Linked DNA regions of Anolis sagrei. The protein of the gene in region 1 purifies or fractionates together with the protein of each later gene. This does not show direct contact. Links are inferred from orthologs where the notes say so. Each region holds a gene or a part of one and is shown in the gene's direction. Other genes may lie near its edges.

Region 1 (6,976 bases):
ATGTGGGATTTCCTGGCTTGATATTCTGGGATATAGGGCTGGGTGGAAGGGCATTGAAGTTCAAAGCAGATAATCTGGATTTTATATGGTTGTGTAGAAGGGCCCTTCCACACAGTCCTATATCCCAGAATATCTAGGCAGAAAATCCCACCAATATCTGCTTTGAACTGGGTTATCCGAGTCCACACTCAGATGTGCACAATATGTGGGGCTGCCCTTGAAAATGGCCCGGAAATTTCAATTGGTACAATGGGCGGCAGCCTGGTTACTAACTGGTGTCACTTACAGGGAGCGGTCAACCCGCCTGTTTAAGGAGCTCCATTGGCTGCCGTTCATTTTCTGGTCCCAATACAAGGTACAGGTTCTTACCTGAACGGTTTGGGACCCGCTTACCTGCATGACCGCATTTCTGTGTACGAACCCACACAATCTCTTCGATCATCAGGAGAGGCCCTGCTCGCGCTCCTGCCTCCTTCGCAGGCGCGATTGATGGGGACGAGGGCCTTCTCAGTGGTGGCCCTGATATCGAGCTCTTTTTGGGGGGCTTTCCCAGCGAGGAAGGCCCCAGAAGACCGCAAAGGGGGTCTCTGACCTTGGTGAGCTGCCAGCAAAAGCCAATCCAAAGCGCAAAATATTAAGAATTAATCCCACCAGAGGCTGAAGAGGTATCCAGCGACCGAAGCGTTTATTTCTGCGATTCAGCTGAAAAGGATGCGTTACAGGGATAATTCCACCATAAGCATACAGTACAGTGATTTCCAGGCATATTTATACAAGTAAAACAAAGAAAACCTGGTTTGAAACTCCCGCCCGCCTTCTGTCAGCTCTCTCCGCCCTGATTGGCTGGCTCTGGAACAGCTGGGAGGAGGCTTGGCCGCTTGTCCCGCCTCCCCTCCAATCGCCGGGCGCTGTCGCCTCTAGGGGGCCAATCAGAGCCCTTAGAGCGCCTCCGAAGATGGTCCAATCAGCGGCCAGGAGGCGGGACGTGGTTTGACAGCTCAGAGGGGGCGGAACGCCTGGGAGGCGTCCGCCAGCTGATTGAGAGCCTTTGTTCTTACACGGCAGGGTGGCAGACGGGAGAAACAAAGGATTTCCTGATTTCTGATTGCAGATGTGTATAGACATGAAAAGGGGCTATTGGTGGCATTTGGATCTCAAAACTCTGTAGACAAGGGGACCCTTAATCACAAAGGAGCTTACACAAATACCATGATTGATTTAATCAGTCCGTTTTCCGGGTTTCGGTTGACCCATCTCTGGCTTGTTTGTCTGACTCTGAAAACAAACCTTGAGATAATTGTCAACCCTGATCCATGCAAAATGTCAATATGAATGGGGTTATTTTGAGGAAATTGGATTTCCTCCGCTGTAGCCTCAGGTCACATCCTTTCTTAGTAGGGTAAAGTTCAGAGGAGAAAAGTAGGGAAAAGGGCAAGGGTACATCTCATAGATTTCATATTATACATATCATATACATTCTTCATAAATCTTCATAAGTTTCATAAATTTCATAAAGAGATCCCCATCCCAACCCAGCAAAGTTTATTAGAGGTAATAACAATTGATAAAAGCAATTCATCTCTGTTTGAAGTATGATCTTCTTGGCAAGGGCGCACGCACAGGCGGAGACTATTCTCTCCAAGAGGCCTGGTTCAGAGTCCGTGGAGGAAGTTCATGACGATAGGGCATCAAGTCAATCAGTGAGGGCAAAGAGGTCCGCAAGGAATTCACAAATGGTGGAGAGTGGGGCAATGTCCTTTAGAAAACTACATTTCCCTGATCAGGGGCCAGGGTCCAGTGCACAAGCCAGAGAATTCACAGAGAGGAAACAGGAACCCAGTTATGTGTGCTGGGTCAGGAAGCAACAGAATCCATTGTCTGGCCCTTGGCGAACTACAAATACTTGGGGGGGGGGGAGATGCTCCGCATCAGCCCCCTAACTCTGGAACTCACTTCCCAAGGACATCAGGCATGTCCCAACTCTGGCAGTCTTTAGGAGGAGCCTGAAAATGTGGCTGTTCCAGTATGCCTTCCCAGAATAAGGAAAATTCTCAGCAATATGCCCTCAGAATGCACTTTACAATTGGTTTAGGATTGACTGCGCTCCCTCATCTCTCTTTTAAAACCCTATACCAGATATATCCTACCTTGTTCGTGCCCAGCGTTTATTTTTTAATTTTTAAACTATTACATTGGCCCAGCCATAGGTTTTTTAATCCTTGTTGTGTTACTGTTTATTGGTTATTGTTTATATGTGATTTATATTAATTGTATTGTATTTATTGTTTTTGTTTATTGCTTCTTGTTCTTATTGATGGGTTGTTGGGCCTGGCCTCATGTAAGCAGCTCCGAGTCCCTTGGGGAGATGGTGGCGGGGTATAAATAAAGTATTATTATTATTATTATTATTATTATTATGTTATCATACCTCTTTAGCAAGCAGACATTATACATAAAAGAAACCTGATTTTGGGTTGTTTTATCCTGGCTCATGTCTTCTTTCAGTAATTGGTTAAATGGACAAACCCAGAGGGTGCTCACCAATGCTTCCTCTTCATCCTGGAAAGAAGTGACGAGCGGAGTGCCGCAGGGTTCGGTCCTGGGCCCGGTCCTGTTCAACATCTTTATTAATGACTTAGATGAAGGGCTAGAAGGCATGATCATCAAGTTTGCAGATGACACCAAATTGGGAGGGATAGCCAATACTCCAGAGGACAGGAGCAGAATTCAAAACGATCTTGACAGATTAGAGAGATGGGCTAAAACTAACAAAATGAAGTTCAACAGTGACAAATGCAATATACTCCACTTTGGCAGGAAAAACGAAATGCAAAGATACAGAATGGGGGACAATGCCTGGCTCGAGAGCAGTACGTGTGTAAAAAAGATCTTGGAGTCCTCATGGACAACAAGTTAAACATGAGCCAACAATGTGATGTGGCGGCAAAAAAAGACCAATGGGATTTTGTCCTGCATCAATAGGAGCATAGTGTCTAGATCTAGGGAAGTAACACTACCCCTCTATTCCGCTTTGGTTAGACCACACCTGGAATATTGTGTCCAGTTCTGGGCACCACAATTCAAGAGAGATATTGACAAGTTGGAATGTGTCCAGAGGAGGGCGACTAAGATAACCAAGGGTCTGGAGAACAAGCCCAATGAGGAGCGGCTTAAGGAGCTGGGCATGTTTAGCCTGAAGAAGAGAAGGCTGAGAGAAGATATGATAGCCATGTATACATATGTGAGAGGAAGCCACAGGGAGGAGGGAGCAAGCTTGTTTTCTGCTTCCTTGGAGACCAGGACGCGGAACAATGGCTTCGAACTACAAGAGAGGAGATTCCATCTGAACACGAGGAAGAACTTCCTGACTGTGAGAGCCGTTCAGCAGTGGAACTCTCTGCCCCGGAGTGTGGTGGAGGCTCCTTCTTTGGAAGCTTTTAAAGAGAGGCTGAATGGCCATCTGTCAGGGGTGCTTTGAATGCAATATTCCTGCTTCTTGGCAGGGGTTGGACTAGATGGCCCATGAGGTCTCTTCCAACTCTAGGATTCTATGATCCTTTGCAGCATTCCATGTGGCCAACCAGTTTTGGGGGGAATGAGAGTTCTTGCCCAGTGGTTGTATGAACCTAGTGATAAGTTTGATAGGCCTCTATACTCCTGAGGCAGGTGAAGACAAGAGGGCCAGGTTTTTCTCTCCTCCTTCTCCCCTTGCTCTCCTAGAACAACACTAAACGTTTCCTTTCCCTACTCCCTGTCTCTTTATAAAGGTTACTATGACTCTACAAGGTTCCCCTCACCCTATGAGGCCACGATGATGCTGGCAGCTCTAAAGTGAGAAAGCCCCGCCCCTTCATGGAGAGCCGGAAGTAGCTTCTGCGCCCGGAAGCGGAAAGGCGGTGCTCGTGAAGTCGTCTCTCTCGTGCTTCCCTCTTCGTTCTCCAGCCCGCAGTCCCTTCTCTCCGCTCAGGTAGGCGGTCCTGGATGGTTCAGCCTTGCCATTGTGATCCTTCGGATTTGTTTTGTCAAAAGATGGGTTTTTTTTGGGTCAACATAGACTACCTTTGCCCTTCCAGGTGTTTTGAACTCCCAACTCCCACAGTTCCTAACCGGCTGTTAGGAATTGTGGGAGTTGAAGTCCAAAACATCAGGAGGGCCGAAGTTTGCCCGTGCCTGGTCTACTAGCTTTCAAAAAAGGCATGGCTTGTTTTTGGATTTTGTGAATGCACCCGTTAGAAATTCTTGCAGATAGAATCAAAGAGTTGGAAGAGACCTCATGGGCCATGCAGTCCAACCCCCTGCCAAGAAGCAGGAATATTGCATTCAAATCACCCCTGACAGATGGCCATCCAGCCTCTGCTTAAAAGCTTCCAAAGAAGGAGCCTCCACCACACTCCCGGGCAGAGAGTTCCACTGCTGAACGGCTCCCACAGTCAGGAAGTTCTTCCTCATGTTCAGATGGAATCCCCTCTCTTGTAGTTTGAAGCCATTGTTTCGTGTCCTAGTCTCCAGGGCAGCGGAAAACAAGTTGCTCCCTCCTCCCTGTGGCTTCCTCTCACATATTTATACATGGCTATCATGTCTCCTCTCAGCCTTCTCTTCTTCAGGCTAAACATGCCCAGCTCCTTAAGCCGCTCCTCATAGGGCTTGTTCTCCAGACCCTTGATCATTTTAGTCGCCCTCCTCTGGACACATTCCAGCTTGTCAATATGTCTCTTGAATTGTGGTGCCCAGAATTGGACACGATATTCCAGGTGTGGTCTAACCAAAGTGGAATAGAGGGGGAGCATGACTTCCCTAGATCTAGACACTATGCTCCTATTGATGCAGGCCAAAATCCCATTGGCTTTTTTTTGCCGCCACATCACATTGTTGGCTCATGTTTAACTTGTTGTCCACGAGGATTCCAAGATCTTTTTCACACGTACTGCTCTCGAGCCAGGCATTGTCCCCCATTTTGTATCTTTGCATTTCGTTTTTCCTGCCAAAGTGGAGTATCATGTATTTGTCCCTGTTGAACTTCATTTTGTTAGTTTTGGCCCATCTCTCCAATCTGTCAAGATCGTTTTGAATCCTGCTCCTGTCCTCTGGATGGGGTTGGCAGTAGTGGGTGAAGGTACTGCATCTCCCATAATCCAGGTTCCTATACCCCCAAACCCCATCAGGATTTAAAGTGGGTCATGGGACATCTATGTGCTAAATTTGGTCCTGATCCATGGTTAATGGAGTTCACAGTCGTCTCTGGATGTGGGTCAAAGTACTGCAAATCCCACATCATCCAGGTTCCTACCCCCCCCCCCCCCAAACCCCACTAGGACCTAAAGTGGGCCATGGGGTATCTGTTCCAACTTTGGTCCAGATTCATGGTTGATGGGTTCACAGTTGTCTCTGGATGCGGGTGAAGGTACTGCGACTCTCATCATCCAGGTTCCTACCTCCCCCCCCCCCCAAAAAAAAACCCCCACCAGGACTCAAAGTGGGTCATGGGGTGTCTGTGTGCCAGGTTTGGTCCAGATCTATGGCTAAAGAGGTTTGCAGTAATCTCATGATGTGCGGGACAGTACTGCAACTCCCATCATCCAGAGTTCTTCCCCCAAGAAACCCCACCAGAACTTAAGTGGGTCATGGGATTTCAGTGTGCCAAGTTTGCTCCAGTTCCGTCATTGGTGGGGCTCACAGTTGTCTTTGGAAGTGAGAACCAATAGGAAAGCTGCCGCAAACTTACACAAATCTTGACAAGAAAAACACCATAAGTAGGATCAGCTTGGGTTGATTAGAATTGCCTGAAAAATGCAAAACAAAAAAGTGAGTTCCTTGGAGAAAAGGCTAAATAAGCTATCTTGTTTCCTAGGGAAGTTAGAAGATGGATATTCGACCAAATCACACGCTTTACATCAATAATGTTAATGACAAAATTAAAAAAGAAGGTAAGAAAATAGCTCAGATCTTTTATTCTACCATGTTCTGGTGCCTAGGGTCAAGATATGTGTGTGTGTGTGTTCCAGCTTATAATTTTCACTCTCTAGTAGGCTTTGTCTTTAACTGTTTTGGTTGTTATTGGAGTGAATTGTTTAATATATTGACAATTAGCTGTTGTCCTTTTGGCTGCAGTTCTTTCCACTTTTACCTGGACACAGCAGGATTTTCTTGTGAAGACATATATTTAAGACTGCACTGAAAACTATTTATACAGTATTATCCACAAATTTGATATCTATAGTTTCAATTACCCATACTCCAAATTTATTTGTAGGCCTTTCTAGGTCCTCCAGTGTAAATCCAGCAAACGTGCAATCAAAATATAGGGTTTACTATTGCCCACAGTGTCAGGTATCATTTCTCCAGTAGATATCAAGGTCATACTAGTTTTACATTTTGGTGAAAATGGAAAGCAGTCTATGTGACACAAGTTAATTTAATTATTATTGTAAGCAGTGTTTGTATATTTTCTTGGAAAATTACAATAACAATGTGGTAGAAGCATGCATTTAATGTTGTACTTGAAGCACTTTTAGCCCACTGTTTAGGACAGAGTCATCTATGTGTAGTGAATTTTATATGGCTACAGCATAGTCCTTCAGTTTGCAATCTAAAAGGTGCTAAAGAAAATGAAAGTGGAGAGAAGAGAAAGCTTTTTGACACTAGTTTTATAGCCCAGTGTCCTAATAATGGTGTAGGATAGTGTACTGCAACAGCCTTCCATTACCTTATTTGCAGTATGAGTACACAAAACCTGCAATACAGTAACTGACCGCATTTCTGTGTACGAACCCACACGATCTCTTTGATAATCTGGAGAGGCCCTGCTCGCTCTCCCACCTCCTTCACAGGCGCAATTGGTGGGGACGAGGGAGAGGACCTTCTCGGTGGTGGCCCCCCAACTCTGGAGCTCACTTCCAAAGGAAATCAGGCATGCCCCAACATTGGCAGTCTTTAGGAGGAGCCTGAAAACGTGGCTGTTCCAGTGTGCCTTCCCGGA
Region 2 (7,994 bases), on another chromosome or scaffold:
GCGACTGGAGGATTTTGAGGATTCATTGTTTAACTCTGATTTGTTTCTTCGACTGGCTGTTCTTCTCTATCTGAAAATCAAACAGAACAAATAACCCTTGGAATTTTGAAAAGTATGCTACTGCTTTGAATATTGTTAGTTTCTCATCTTTACTATATCCAAGTACATTTTCTTTGGATGGCAGCTTCTAAAACATTCACTATCTGACAGTGCCATCTGCTGCTAGGCACTTCAGTTAGCAAATATATGGTATGTGGGCTGTTTTGTACTACTAAAGCTAACTGTAAACTGGGAGTACATCAAATTTGTAAAAGTAATGCCATTTGAGACCAATTTAATTGCCATGGCTCAGTGCTATGGAATCATGGGTTTTGTAGTTTGGTGTGACAACGGCATTCTTTGACAGAGAAGACTAAAGACTGGGTAAAACTACAACTCCCACAATTCCACACAGCCATATAACCCAGCACCCAGTCACACAGTACCTTTATCAATATCCCCTGAAAACATGGGAGGCATCACTACAAAGTACTAAAAACAAAATATTTTCAGTTGCAGGAATATCCCAGCTCTGTTCGGAAAATGAGGATATTCGTATCTCTGTATGTCCATACACCTGGAAAATATGGGATTTTTTATGTTGGTTTGTTTTCGGGTTATACACTTGTGCCTGTTATTCCCAGGCACTAGTACACGACCAAACCTGTCTGGCCAGATGGCCATGCAGCCTCTGAATGACAATAATAATGACAAAGTTCTGTTCCTGGCTTGAAAGTGTCAGTTCCTGTTTAATAGTGTAGTCTTCACTTTGAAAGTAGTGGTCTTAAGCGGCTGAGGGGAAAAAGGAAAGGGACTGATGCTGTTAGGAATGGTGGGAGTTGGAGTCCAAAACACCAGGAGGAAGGCCCAAGTTTGCCCATACCTTTTTAAGACAACCATTCAATATAAATATATTTATAAATATAAAGATGGTACTTCATCTTAAATGTAAAAGTAATTACTTAAATTATTTATTTATTTATTTATTATTTATTAACTTTCTCCCCAAGGGACTCGGTGTGGCTTACATGAGGCCGAGCCCAAACACAACAAAAGCAATAAAACATCAATACAAGCAATTAAAAACATAGACAATAAAGTACACAACATTATCAAAAAAGCAACACATCATTAAAACAGCGGGAAGGCCAAATGTAGAGTTAAAATTGGAAATAATGCTGGGCCATGAACGAAAGGTGATATTAGTGTTTGTGGAGGGCATACAAGCAGACTCAGGGAAATATAAAGTGCTTTGGAGGACAAAGTGCTATGGGATTCATTATACCGGGAAGGCACACTGGAACAGCCACGTCTTCAAGCTCCTCCTGAAGACTGCCAGGGTTGGGGCCTGTCTGATGTCTTTAGGGAGTGAGTTCCAGAGTCAAGGGACCACCACCAAAAAGGCCCTCTCCCTCGTCCCCACCAAACATGCCTGTGATGCTGGTGGGATCGAGAGCAGGGCCTCTCCGGAAGATCGAAGGGATCATGTGGGTTCGTATACAGAGATGCGATCACATAGGTAGGTGGGTCCCAAACCGTTCAGGGCTTTATAAGTAAGAACCTGCACCTTGAATTGGGTCCGGTAGATTAATGGCAACCAGTGGAGCTCCCTGAACAGGAGGGATGACTGCTCTCTGTAAGGAGCCCCAGTTAACAACCTGGCTGCCGCCCATTGGATCATCTGAAATTTCCGGGCCATTTTCAAGGGCAGCCCCACATAGAGTGCATTGCAGTAATCCAGTCTAGAGGTGACTAAGGCGTGGACCACCTTGGCCAGATCCGCCTTCCCAAGGTACGGTCGCAGTTGACGCACAAGTCTTAATTGTGCAAAGGCCCTCCCGGCCACCACCGACGCCTGAGCCTCAAACGTAAGTGAAGAATCCAGAAGGACTCAGCTTAAATATAAATATATTTATAAATATAAAGATGGTACTTTATCTTAAATATAAATATAATTAATTAAATAAATATAAAGATGGTACTTCATCTTAAATATAAATAAATAATTATAAAGGTGGTACTTCATCTTAAATATAAATAAATATAAAGATGGTACTTCATCTTAAATATAAATATAATTAAATAAATATAAAGATGGTGTTGTTCATTCGTTCAGTCATCTCCGACGCTTCGTGACCTCATGGACCAGCCCACGCCAGAGCTTCCTGTCGGCCGTCACCACCCCCAGCTCCTTCAAGGTCAGTCCAGTCACTTCAAGGATACGAAGATAGACTATTTACCTATGCTACAACAGCAGCGAGAATATTATTGGCGAAGTTTTGGAAACAGGAAGATATCCCTACCACTGAAGAGTGGTTAGGGAAATTAAGAGAAATAAGAGAAATTGACGAATTAACTTTTTTTTTCTTGAAAAAGAATACCGGGAACCCGATAAAGAGGACAGATTGGACTCTATATGAAAACTACGAAAAGGAAATAAATAAATAAGAGGAACATTATGAAGTGGATATAATGGAAAAATCATTGAGGACACAACACCTGATGGAGAGATGGAAGTCAATTTTTATCTTCTTTTTTTTCTTTTTTTTCTTTCATTTTTTTGTGTCTTTTATATTTTTGTATTTTTCTGGTGGACTTGGGGGTAGGGGGATGTACTTCTTACTTTTTTTCCTACTTTCCTATCATCTTTTTTAATATTCTCCCTCTTTCGATGTTATTCTTAAAATCTTAATAAAAAAAACTATTATAAAAGGATACCATCCATCCATCTTGCCCTTGGTCGGCTGCTCTTTCTTTTACCTTCCACTTTCCCCAGCATGATTGTCTTCTCTAGGCTTTCCTGTCTCCTCATGATGTGGCCAAAGCACTTCAACTTTGTCTCTAGTATCTTTCCCTCCAGTGAGCAGTCGGGCTTCATTTTCTGGAGGATGAACTGGTTGGATCTTCTCGCAGTCCAAGGCACTCTCAGAACTTTCCTCCAACACCACAGCTCAAAAGCATCTATCTTCCTTCGCTCAGCCTTTCCTAAGGTCCAGCTCTCACATCCGTAGGTTACTACAGGGAATACCATGGCTTTGACTATGCGGATCTATGTTGCCAGTGTGATGTCTCTACTCTTTACTATTTTATCGAGATTGGACATTGCTCTCCTCCCAAGAAGTAAGCGTCTTCTGATTTCCTGGCCACAGTCTGCATCTGCAGTAATCTTTGCACCTAGAAATACAAAGTCTGTCACGGCCTCCACATTTTCTCCTTCTATTTTCCAGTTGTCAATCATTCCTGTTGCCATAATCTTGGTTTTTTTTATGTTTAGCTGCAACCCAGCTTTTGCGCTTTCTTCTTTCACCTTGATTAGAAGGCTCCTCAGCTCCTCCTCACTTTCGGCCATCAGAGTGGTGTCATCTACATACTGAGGTTGTTGATGTTTCTTCCAGCAATTTTCACCCCAGCTTTGCATTCATCCAGCCCCGCACATCGCATGATGTGTTCTGCATACAAGTTAAAAAGGTTGGGTGAGAGTATGCAGCCTTGCCGTACGCCTTTCCCAATCTTGAACCAGTCTGTTGTTCCGTGGTCAGTTCTGACTGTTGCTACTTGGTCCTTGTACAGATTCCTCAGGAGAGAGACAAGGGGGCTTGGTATGCCCATCCCACAATTTATTATGATCCACACAGTCAATGAAGCAGAAATAGATGTTTTTCTGAAACTCCCTGCCTTTCTCCATTATCCAGCGGATATTGGCAATCTGGTCTCTCGTTCCTCTGCCTTTTCTAAACCCTGCTTGAACATCTGGCAACTCTCGCTCCATGTCTTGCTGGAGTCTTCCTTGCAGGATCTTGAGCATTACCTTACTGGCATGAGAAATAAGGGCCACTGTACGAAAGTTTGAGCAGTCTTTCGCATTTCCCTTTTTTGGTATGGGGATATAAGTTGATTTTTTCCAGTCTGATGGCCATTCTTGTGTTTTCCATATTTGCTGGCATATGGCATGCATCACCTTGACAGCATCATCTTTTAAGATTTTAAACAGTTCAGCTGGGATCCCGTCGTCTCCTGCTGCCTTGTTGTTAGCAATGCTTCTTAAGGCCCATTCAACCTCACTCTTCAGGATGTCTGGTTCTAATTCATTCACCACACCGTCAAAGCTATCCTCGATATTATTATCCTTCCTATACAGATCTTCTGTATAGTCTCGCCACCTTCTCTTGATCTCTTCAGCTTCTGTTAGGTCCCTGCCATCTTTGTTTCTTATCGTACCACTTTTTACCTGAAATTTACCTCTAGTGTTTCTAATTTTCTGGAAGAGGTCTCTTGTCCTTCCTATTCTGTTGTCTTCTTCCAGTTCCATGCATTGCTTATTTAAAAATAGTTCCTTCTCTCTTCTGGCTAACCTCTAGAATTGCGCATTTAACTGGGCATATCTCCCCTTATCCCTGTTTCCTTTTGCTTTCCTCCTTTCTTGGGCTAATTCCAGTGTCTCAGCAGACAGGGTACTTCATCTGAAATATAAATAAATAAATGTAAAGATGGTACTTCATCTTCAAAGAGCACATTTTTGAGAGAGACCCCTTTATGAATGTTATAATCTACCAGCATTATTATTATTATTGATATTTTATCTTATTGATATTTTAAAACGAAACCAGGAATAACAGTTCAAGGCTCTCAAATGTGTGAGAAGCATTTCTTCCTCTGGATTTTGGTTTTAGACCCTCTGACTTCATCTCTTTCAAACCCAATCCCCGCCTCTTTTTGCTTTGTGACTGGAACTATATTAGCAGCGTCACTCTTTCTCCTCAGAGCCGCTTCTCCTACAGCAAAGCTCTGGCGGAGGAATCATTTCAAGAGAACAGAAACGAGTCCCGGCGCGGAAGGATCCCGAGCATGCGCAGAAGGACGGTGGAGTAGGCCCCAGCCTGAGGCGGCGGGAGGCGCCGAGGAGAGGAGGAAGCGTAACGCGGCCGAGGACCCCTCCGCGGGGGAGAGTCGAGGGTGTGTGAGGCGCGGTCGGTTGTGGGGAGAAGGTGTTGTGGTGCTTTTGTGGCGGGGAATATGTATATTTATTCTGTTGTGTTTTTGTGAGAGGAAGAAGGCTCCTTTCGCCTCGGCCGGAGTGAGGGAGGGGCTTGGGAAGAGCGGGCGCGGGGCTTGGAGGGAGGCTTGAAGCAGAAGGGCCGAAGTAGGCCCCGGGGAAAGGCCGGAGAGGGAAATTGGCCTCGAGTCGCAGGGGAAGGCCTGCCGCGGAGGAGGGAAGAAGGGGCGTGGGGGCTCCGCAAAGGCTGCTGGGATGCCAATGCAATATTAATGGCCAGCGTTTTTTCCTTACAGCGGCCTTGCGAGGTAGGCGCCACTGCCGTACATTTAACTTTAGTGACGCAGATGAGGACCTGAAGCTTGAGGCCTAGGCCGCGTGGGGTTTACAACAGGCATAGAATCATAGAATCGAAGAGTTGGAAGAGACCTCACGGGCCATCCAGTCCAACCCCCTGCCAAGAAGCAGGAATATTGCATTCAAATCACCCCTGACAGATGGCCATCCAGCCTCTGCATAAAAGCTTCCAAAGAAGGAGCCTCCATGGGCAAACCATTCCTTTTTTAGACACTGGGTTGTGGTGAGTTTTCCCGGCTGTATGGCCATGTGCCAGAAGCTTCCTCTCTGACGTTTATGTATCTGTGGAAGGTCCAAGGTGGGAGAAATAACTCTTGGTTGCTATAAAATTTTCGGGCTGTATGACCATGCTCCAGAAGCATTCTCTTCTGACGTTTTGCCTGCATCTATGACAGGCATCCTCAGGAGGCGAAACGTCAGGAGAGAATGCTTCTGGAACATGGCCATTACATGGCTGTTTGGGTATCAGCCAGCACATCAACGACTTAAATCAAGAAATACTTTTCTTAGATCTACAGTAGGGCTGGGTAACCACGGAAGAATTTGTTTCTAAACTCGATTCGTTTTTAAGGGGTCCATCACGTTTCGTTTCTTTAAAGAATTCCGAAATTTTCCTTTTAAAATTTTTGAAATATACGAAATTTCGTAAATTTCGAATCGATTTGTTAATGGCGGACGCGATTGCACAATATGCTAAAAAAAACCTCCAAATATGCTGAAAAAACCTCCAAATGGGACAGGGGGAACTTCTAAAGCTTCCCTCTCCCTCTGTTGTTGACTGTTGGTGTGATAAAACAAACAACTATAAAACTTGCACCAGGCATGCGAAAATAATTTCGAAACAATTACGAAACAATTACAAAATAAGTTGAAAAATTGTTTCGAATCTATTTAACTCCTCACACTATTCCAAAATGGCTCAATATCGGATCGTAAGCTAATTTAAATACGAATTAATAATGAATTACGAAATTAATGAACGAAACCACCCAGCCCTAATCTACAGAGACACTCGCTGGAACACCTCAGCAAGCGAGAGTTCAAAAGTGGCAGGCTCAAACCCAGCACCTCAATCCGTGGGTGATACCAAATGAGAGACTCCCCCCTGGGCACACAGAAGACTGGGCGACTTGGAAGGCACTGAACAGACTGCGCTCTGGCACCACGAGATGCAGCGCCAATCTCAAGAAATGGGGCCACAAAGTGGAATCCACGACATGCAAGTGCGGAGAAGAGCAAACCACTGACCACCTGCTGCAATGCAACCTGAGCCCTGCCACATGCACAATGGAGGACCTTCTTGCGGCAACACCAGAGGCACTCCAAGTGGCCAGCTACTGGTCAAAGGACATTTAATCAACTACCAAGTTTGCAGAATTTGTGTTTTTTTATCTGTTTGTTTGTTTTGTTCTGTTAGAAATGTAACACAATGGTCTGGTTGCTGATGACACGATAAATAAATATGGCCATACAGCCCGAAAAACTTACAGCAACTAAGAGTTATTTCTCCCACCCCAGCCCTTCCACAGATCTATAAACTTCAGGAGATAATGCTTCTGGAACATGGCCATACATCCTGAAAAACGTACAGCAACCAAGAGTTATTTCTCCCACACCAGACCTTCAACGGATCTATAAACGTCAGGAGAGAATGCTTCTGGAACATGGCCATACAGCCTGAAAAACATACAGCAACCAAGAGCTATTTCTCCCACCCCGGACCTTCCACAGATCTATAAACGTCCGGAGAGAATGCTTCAGGCACATGGCCATACAGCCCGGAAAACTCGCCGCAACCCAGTGATTCCGGCCATGAAAGCCTTCGACAATACATGGTTCTCAACCTGGGGTCCCCAGATGTCCATAGACACCTCCAAGGTCATGTGGCCATTGTCCATAGACACCTCCAAGGTCATGTGGCCAGCATGACTGCATGGAGCGCTGTTACCTTCCCACCAAGATGGTACCTATTGATCTATTCACATTTGGATGTTTTTGAACTGCTAAGTTGACAGAAGCTGGGGCTAACTTATCCCACTCCCCAAATTCAAACCGCCAACCTTTTGGTCAGCAAGTTCAGCAGCTTAGCGGTTTGACCCACTGTGCCATCAGGCACGCCTTCGTCTAGTTTCCAATATACCTCACAACCTCTGAGGGTGCCTGCCATATATGTGAGCAAAACATCGGGAGAGAATGCTTCTGGAACATGGCCATACAGCCCAGAAAACTCATCGCAACCCAGTGATTCTGTGAATGAAAGCCTTCGACAACACTTTTTTTGACAGTTATTCTACAATACAAATATATTTCCGGAGGCCTTATTTGGAGACTTTTGGTTGTGTCAACATTGCCAAGTCCGAAATAGCAATAATAATATGGCTTACCAATAGTTGTCTGGTCATTGCCTTTATAGGTTATTGAGAAAGGCCTGATTCCACAGAAAGGTTTTAACTTGTGAGCAAAAGGCCAGTTACTTCCCAGTTCCTTTCCTCCTTCCTTTCCCCCTCATTGCTTACTCCTTCCTTGACTCCTTTCTTCTATTCTTGCATTTCTCTTCATCCTTTCTCACTTCATTCCTTCTTCCTTTACTTCTTTTCTTCCTTTC
Region 3 (7,402 bases), on another chromosome or scaffold:
TTGGGGACTGTGAACATTAATTAAGGGAACAGAGATAGAATGAAAATGTCTAGTCATAGCTCCTAACTGCAGAGCTTAAGCCACTTGTTAATGCCACTGTTTCAAGTCCCAATTACTGTTCTTTGATAACTTCACAGGACAGCTTGAAAACAGTAATGAAAGACACATAAAAATTCAAAGAGGTCCTGAGACAGCAGGAGGTAATATTCCAGATTAAAGCAAGACCAGGCCTTAGAAGAGTAAAAGTCTTGCTTTTTCTGTATATGAAGGAAATTTTATCTCAAGGGAATACAAACTGACCATTGATGCTAATTAGAATCATACTGATTTTGAAAGCTTTAAGGAAACTAAAAACCAATGGGGCAAAATTTAGATAAATAAACAGCAACCTCTAACAAGACATCAATTTCAACTGAAATAAACTATTCTTTTTATGAAGTGGTTTTCTTCTCTTTAAAATATAAAATGGTCTTCACTTGATATAATGAGCACTTGATTCTATTATTCCTAACTCAAGAAAACATAATTATGCTTATATCAATAACAGCTTAATGATAAAGGAGCAGAATAAAAAGACAAACAAAAAAGGAGCAAGAAACGACTGCTTACATTAACTATTCTCTACTTATTTCATCAAATTTGAAATCATGGAATTTAGAGCTATTAAGAGCTTTTACCTGAGAGTAGACAATACTGAATGGACAAATAGTCTGACATGGGATAACTCAATGTTATTGTATGTCTCATGGAGTAAATGTACTGAAAAATCCAGCCCTACAGGTTGTTCAGCACTAGGAGAAGCTGGATTACCATAATGTCTTGGCACTAACAGAATACTGGCACTGTCAATTTCTAAATATGTTGGGGAGATGTAATTGTATGAAGGAAGAGATCACTTCTGAAGTCACCAATGACTTGAAATGATTTAACATGACGTTGCCTTTCAGCTGAAATGTGTCCTTTTATTTTGGTGGATTTGGAGTAATGGGAGATTAGGGGACCAAAATTATCATTCTGATGAGATGATTTGGAGTTTTCAGAGGCAAGTTTTACATGAATTTTTTTGCTGGCATCAGAGGACTTTGGAGGTTTCTAGAAGACATTAGAGACCCAGAGGCTGTGGCAAATCACGCACATTTTTCCCACCACTGTCCTATTTCCTGATGGTACTTATCCTCAGAGGCAACAAAGGATGGAAGCTACTATTAATTCCATCAGATCCCATATTTTTTTCAGATCAGTTGACCTAATAGTTGTGATGGCAAATACTCCTCAATTTTGTTCTGTGGGCTCTTCCACACAGCCACATAACCCAGAATATCAAGGTAGATAATCCACAATCTAGTTCAATGTGGATTTTATACAGCTGTGTGGAAGGGACCTGTGAAAGCTGATGCAGAGAGCAATTATCTTGCCCTCCCCCCAGGGTATCAACACGTGGCAAACCACAGAACCTGTAGTAATGCTGAATCTAGTTATCTACAAGAGACTGATGAAACCAACTAAGTTAAGAAAACTTTCAAAGATTTGTTTGTTGTTTCAACTATACTAAATCATGTCCTGATGGATATTCAGGCCATCCCATTACCACTTAAGATGGATGTTTTATATGTTCTCTGATTTTATGGTTGCTTTTGTTGTTTTCGTTTTTGTTTCTACCTGCACTTTACGGCATTGAATGTCTGCCACTGTTTGTTGCAAACTGCCCTGAGTCCCCACAGGGAGACAACGGATAGAAATAAAAATTATCATCATCATCATATTCAGTTACTACATCTGTAACTTCTTGAAATTTTACTATAGTATGACCCCTGTATCTGCATGTTATACATTCTGTCTCCCTCACCCCCCCCCCCACCCCCCGGATACCTGAAACTGTGGAGAACGGCAAACCATGTATTTAACTATACATGGCCAATAATATATTTGTGGATGGAACGCTTTATGAACTGTAGGTAAGTGAAATTGTGGGTAATGACTCCATTGATAAGGGGGGCATGCAGTATCTCAGATGCACACAAAGTAGACATGAGAAATGACTACAGAATATTTTGTGTAACAGACAGGTTGCAGGCAGGATCCATTTGTGAAGTTAGACTGTGATGGTGGTAGGAAAGAAACGTGCTTTCTTCATTGTCATTGTACCAGGAAAGTAACAGCCAGCAGAACTACTTCAGAGCATCAACTGTATGACAATATCCTCCAATATGAAGACTACATACACTATAGTACACTGTACCAAGTTTAGAAGATTTGACAATTTTCTAGTTTAGAAACTGCTTTTTTATTTTTGTAAAGAACCAACTGGAGTCTAGACTATTGTCTTTATCCCATTTGCATAATAAAGTATTTTTGTGAAACTGAGGCCCCTTCTACACTATATATTCCACATTATCAAAGCAGATAACCCAGATTATCTGCTTTGAACAGGATTATATGAGTGTACACTGCCAGATAATCCAGTTCAAATCAGATAATCTGGATTTTATATGGCAGTGTAGAAGGGGGCTGATTCCTGCTAAAACCCATGAAAGACCTTAATCGACACTACTTTAAAACAGATGCTGCATGCCTCTCTGAATGTTCAGTTCTTAAGCATCTGGGGGCCCTTCCACATAGCCATATAATCCAGAATATCAATGCAGATAATCCCACAATATCTGTTTTGAACTGGGTGATATGAGGGTCCTTCCACACAGTCCTATATCTCAGAATATCAAGACAGAAACTACCACAGTATCGGCTTTCAACTGAGTTACCTGAGTCCACATTTAGATAATGTGGAATTTTCTGCCTTGAAATTCTGGGATATAGAGCTGTGTGAAAGGGCTCTGAGACCACACTCCCATATATTCCAGTTCAAAGCTGAAAATGTGGGATTTCCTGCCTTGGTATTCTGGGATATAGTGCAGTGTGGATATAGGATTGTGTGGAAGGTCCCTCAGTGGAGTGGCTGTGCTCTCTTGCTATGTGATCAGCTCCTGGGCTATAGGGTCTGTCTAGGGTTCCTTCCATGCAGCTGAATAAAATTCCACATTTTTTGCTTTGAAGCAGCAGCATGGATTTGGGGCCCTTCCACACAGCCCTATATCCCAGAATATCAAGGCAGGGAATCCAACATTATCTGAGTGTAGACTCTGATAACCCAGATCAAAACGGTTTTAAATGGTGTATTTTAATATTTTGATAAATGTTTTTTAATGTTTATGTATTGTATGTGAATTTGTATCCCGGCATTGAATGTTTGCCATGTATATCCTGTGCTCCGCCCTGAATCCCCTTTGGGGTGAGAAGGGCAGAATATAAATGTTTTAAATAAATAAATAAATAAATAAAGCAGATATCGTGGGATTTTCTGCCTTGATATTCTGGGATATAGGGCTGTTTAGAAGGGCCCTCAGATAATCCAGTTCAAAGCAGATATTGTGATATGTTCTGCCTTGATGTCCTAGAATATCAAGGCAGGGAATCCCATATTATCTGAGTGTGGACTCGGATAACTCAGTTCAAAGCAGATATTGTGAGATTTGCTGCCTTGATATTTGTGAGATTTGCTGCCTTGATTCTATGGCTGTGTGGAAGGGCCCTGGAAGAGCTCTGGATAATATAGCCGCGTGGATTCAGATAACCCAGTTCAAAGCAGATATTGTGGATTATCTGCTTTGATATTCTGGGTTATATGGCTGTGTGGAAAAGCCCCCAGATGCCTAAGAACTGAACATTCAAAGAGGCATGTAGAATCTGTTTTAAAGTAGTGTTGATTACAGTCTTTCGTGGGTTTTAGCAGGAATCAGGCCACACAGCCATATAACCCAGAATATCAAGGTAGAAAATTCCATAATATCTGCTATGAACTGGGTTATCTGAGTCCACACTGCCATATTTTCCAATTCAATGCGGAAAATGTGGGATTTTATTTAGCTGTGTGGAAGGGGCCTGGGGGCTAGAGTGCAGCAGGCCACCTGGCCCTCCTGTGAAGCCTTTCCAGCCGACGAAGGAAGACTCACCTGCTTGCCCGAATCCACCCACTGACGCTCCACGTTTGGGCTGCCGCTAGAAAGAAGAAAAAACATAAACAGTAAGATGTTGATTGAGATGGCGAAGCAGATCCGGCATCGCGTCTATGAAACACTTTGCCACCGCAAGCACCTTCCTTCACACTCACCCCAGAGCGCCGCCATTTTGGAAGCCCTCCTTCAGGGCTTTACGGCAAAGGCCTTCAAGAACGCGCCGCTTGGCCCCACGCGGCCACCGTTTTTCCCGCGAGCGGGCGCGTTTGCAACAGCACGTGAGGCGCGTACTTTGCGGCAGCGTGTGGTAACCGAAGCATCGGAGGCGTGAGAGAGAGAGGAGAGGAGAGCAGTAGTGCCGAAGCAGATGGAGGGCTCTCCAGGCGCCGCGGAGCGAGTGCTGCCGGCCTCTCCCAACTGGTACTGCGGCCGGTGCAGCGACGCCTCCGAGGACGGGCGCCTCTTCGGCTTCGCGGCTCGCCACACGGTGTGCCTCCTGCAGGCCCGCCCCGCCGCCCCCGCCTTCTATGGTATTTATTTATTTATTTATTTATTTGCTTCATTTCTATACCGCATTTTCAGCCCAAAAAGGCGACTCAATGCGGTTTACAGGGTACAAATTATCATAACAATCTTAGTGCAATTAAAAACACAACAAATATAACAACAGGATCAACAACACCGATCCACAACAATTAACAAACAACATGAAACAAACATAGCGCCTCAATGAAATCAGATCCAAACTCATCATCCTTGTATCATTCCTATGTTCCATTTACTGTCTTCCTATGTTCAGTTGCACTGTTAACCAAACGCTTGTTCATAAAGCCAGGTCTTGACCTTTCTCCGAAACGCCAGCAATGATGGTGCCTGTCTGATGTCCACTGGTAAGGCATTCCATAGCCGAGGGGCCACCACTGAGAAGGCCCTGTCTCTCGTCCCCGCCAAGCGCGCCTGTGACGCAGGCGGGACCGAGAGCAGGGCCTCCCCAGACGATCTTAATGTTCGAGTCGGTTCATAGGTGGAGATGCGTTCGGAGAGGTAAGAGGGGCCAGAACCGTTCAGGGCTTTATAGGCTAAAGCCAGCACCTTGAATTGTGCCCGGTAGCAGATTGGCAGCCAGGTACGCAGCCAGGCCAGGCCTCCTCCTTTAAGGGCCTCCCTTTAAGGGCGCCTCCGCTCTGTCGAAGGAGTGCAGCTCCACACCGCTTCAACCGCCCTGGCACCATGCTACAGGAGCCCGTTGTACAAGATCTTGAGCCTTCCCTCAGCCCATGGGTGTTGAAGTGGTCTCAAACTATTAAATCTGGGTGTTTTCTTTTTGTAGGTTTTTTCGGGCTATATGGCCATGTTCTAGAGGCATTTTCTCCTGACGTTTCGCCTGCATCTATGGCAAGCATCCTCACAGGTAGTGAGGATGCTTGCCATAGATGCAGGCGAAACGTCAGGAGAAAATGCCTCTAGAACGTGACCATATAGCCCGAAAAAACCTACAACAACCCAGTGATTCCGACCATGAAAGCCTTCGACAATGTATTAAATCTACCCTGTGAATGCACCCTGAGAGATAGAAATTGGTAGCATGAGCTTTCCTGGACGAAAGCGTTTCATCCAATGCAATTCGTACCTCTACATGAGTCTCCAGAGCTGTGGTTCTCAACTTCCAGAAATCCCAGTTTACAAGTTATTAGGATTTCAGAGAGTTGAACGCCAAAACATCTGGGTACCCACAGGATGGGAACCACAGCTCAAGAGCAAGCAAACTCTTGCTTTCCCCAATTCATTAAAACGGTGGCCCTCGTGGAAATGAGAGCCCCCTTATTTAGGCACAGAATGCCTCTACAGTCTACCCTAGGCCCGGCTGTTAGGAATTGTGGGAGTTGAAGTCCAAAACAACTGAAGGCCGAAGTTTGCCCATGCCTGGACCACACTGTAGAATAAATGTGATTTGACCTTGCCTTAACTGCCCTGGCTCAATCTTATGGGATCCTGGGACTTGTTGTTTCTTGAGACACCCAAACTCTAGTAGAGAAAACAGAAGGCCTTGTAAAACTTTGGCTGTTTTTTATCTGTTAATAAGTTTAAAGTTAGACTGCTTATTTATTGTTTATTGTTTCAATTTTTTTTTGTGTCGGGAGCGACTTGAGAAACTGCAAGTCGCTTCTGGTGTGAGAGAATTGGCCATCTGCAAGGACATTGCCCAGAAGACGCCCGGATGTTTTGATGTTTTACTATCCTTGTGGGAGGCTTCTTTCATGTCCCTTCATGGGGAGTTGGAGCTGACAGAGAGAGCTCATCCACGCTCTCCCCAGATTTGAACCTGTGACCTGTCGTTTCATATGATTTGTTTTGATGTAATTTATTTGTATATTTTTCCTTTTTGACATTGAATGTTTGCCATATATATTAAAAACCATCCTGAGTTCCTTTGGGGAGATAGGGTAGTTTACAATTAAGGATTATTATTATTACTACAACTCCCATGAGCTTCAGCCCCTGTTATATTTTAGTAATGCAGGCTCTTGTGTGTGTTGCGGAGGATTAGTTTGGGAATAGTAATAATATGCTCTGAGAACTTCATGATTCTTCTTAAAATAGGATCTAGAGAGCATACCCTTAGTGTGGGACATGCAATGGGAGCAGGGTATAGGGTTACAGCCTGTGCTGGATGGGGTCGCACTCCCCTTGAAGGCGCAGGTTCGCAGCTTGGGTGTGATCCTGGATTCATCGTTGAGCCTGGATCCCCAGGTTTCAGCGGTGACCAGGGGAGCATTTGCACAGCTTAGGCTCGTGCGCCAGCTGCGCCCGTACCTTGGGAAGTCTGACTTGGCCACGGTGGTACACGCTCTGGTCACATCCCGCCTTGACTACTGCAACGCTCTCTACGTGGGGCTGCCCTTAAAGACGGCCCGGAAGCTTCAGCTAGTCCAGCGCGCGGCAGCCATGTTGTTAACAGGACCAGGACGCAGGGAGCATACAACGCCCTTGTTGTTCCAGCTCCACTGGCTGCCGATTTGCTACCGGGCCCAATTTAAGGTGCTGGTGTTATCCTACAAAGCCCTAAACGGTTCTGGCCCAAAGTACCTTGCGGACCGCATCTCGGCCTATGAGCCCACGAGGACCTTGAGATCATCTGGGGAGGCCCTTCTCTCGATCCCGCCTGCCTCACAGGCGCGTCTGGCGGGGACGAGAGAGAGGGCCTTCTCGGTGGTGGCCCCCCGCTGTGGAACTCCCTCCCTGCTGACATCAGACAGGCGCCCTCCCTTATGGCCTTTCGCAAGGGCCTGAAGACATGGCTTTTCGAGATGGCATTCAACTGAGTGCTATGTTACTGGAAATGACAACTGGAATGGATTACGACTACGAGATTGGTTATGATTCCACGATAA

The links.
Region 2: the proteins of SNRPB2 (region 1) and SNRNP70 purify together in Homo sapiens (affinity purification with mass spectrometry; 5 studies listed by BioGRID and IntAct, counting the BioPlex papers as one, with this or other methods). This does not show direct contact. The link is inferred for Anolis sagrei from reciprocal best matches to the Homo sapiens genes SNRPB2 and SNRNP70.
Region 3: the proteins of SNRPB2 (region 1) and GEMIN5 purify together in Homo sapiens (co-immunoprecipitation; 3 studies listed by BioGRID and IntAct, with this or other methods). This does not show direct contact. The link is inferred for Anolis sagrei from reciprocal best matches to the Homo sapiens genes SNRPB2 and GEMIN5.

The regions. Positions count from the first base shown.
Region 1 is NC_090021.1:157,445,601-157,452,576, reverse strand, and holds the start of SNRPB2 (U2 small nuclear ribonucleoprotein B''), read left to right. Parts: upstream 1-3,869; 5' UTR 3,870-3,967; intron 3,968-5,848; 5' UTR 5,849-5,860; coding exon 5,861-5,924; intron 5,925-6,976. UniProt on the Homo sapiens protein: Involved in pre-mRNA splicing as component of the spliceosome. Associated with sn-RNP U2, where it contributes to the binding of stem loop IV of U2 snRNA.
Region 2 is NC_090026.1:28,579,656-28,587,649, reverse strand, and holds the start of SNRNP70 (U1 small nuclear ribonucleoprotein 70 kDa), read left to right. Parts: upstream 1-4,872; 5' UTR 4,873-4,992; intron 4,993-7,994. UniProt on the Homo sapiens protein: Component of the spliceosomal U1 snRNP, which is essential for recognition of the pre-mRNA 5' splice-site and the subsequent assembly of the spliceosome. SNRNP70 binds to the loop I region of U1-snRNA.
Region 3 is NC_090022.1:81,734,886-81,742,287, forward strand, and holds the start of GEMIN5 (gem-associated protein 5), read left to right. Parts: upstream 1-4,280; 5' UTR 4,281-4,377; coding exon 4,378-4,540; intron 4,541-7,402. Other genes in the region: MRPL22 (large ribosomal subunit protein uL22m), read right to left, coding at 4,008-4,053, 4,166-4,181. UniProt on the Homo sapiens protein: The SMN complex catalyzes the assembly of small nuclear ribonucleoproteins (snRNPs), the building blocks of the spliceosome, and thereby plays an important role in the splicing of cellular pre-mRNAs.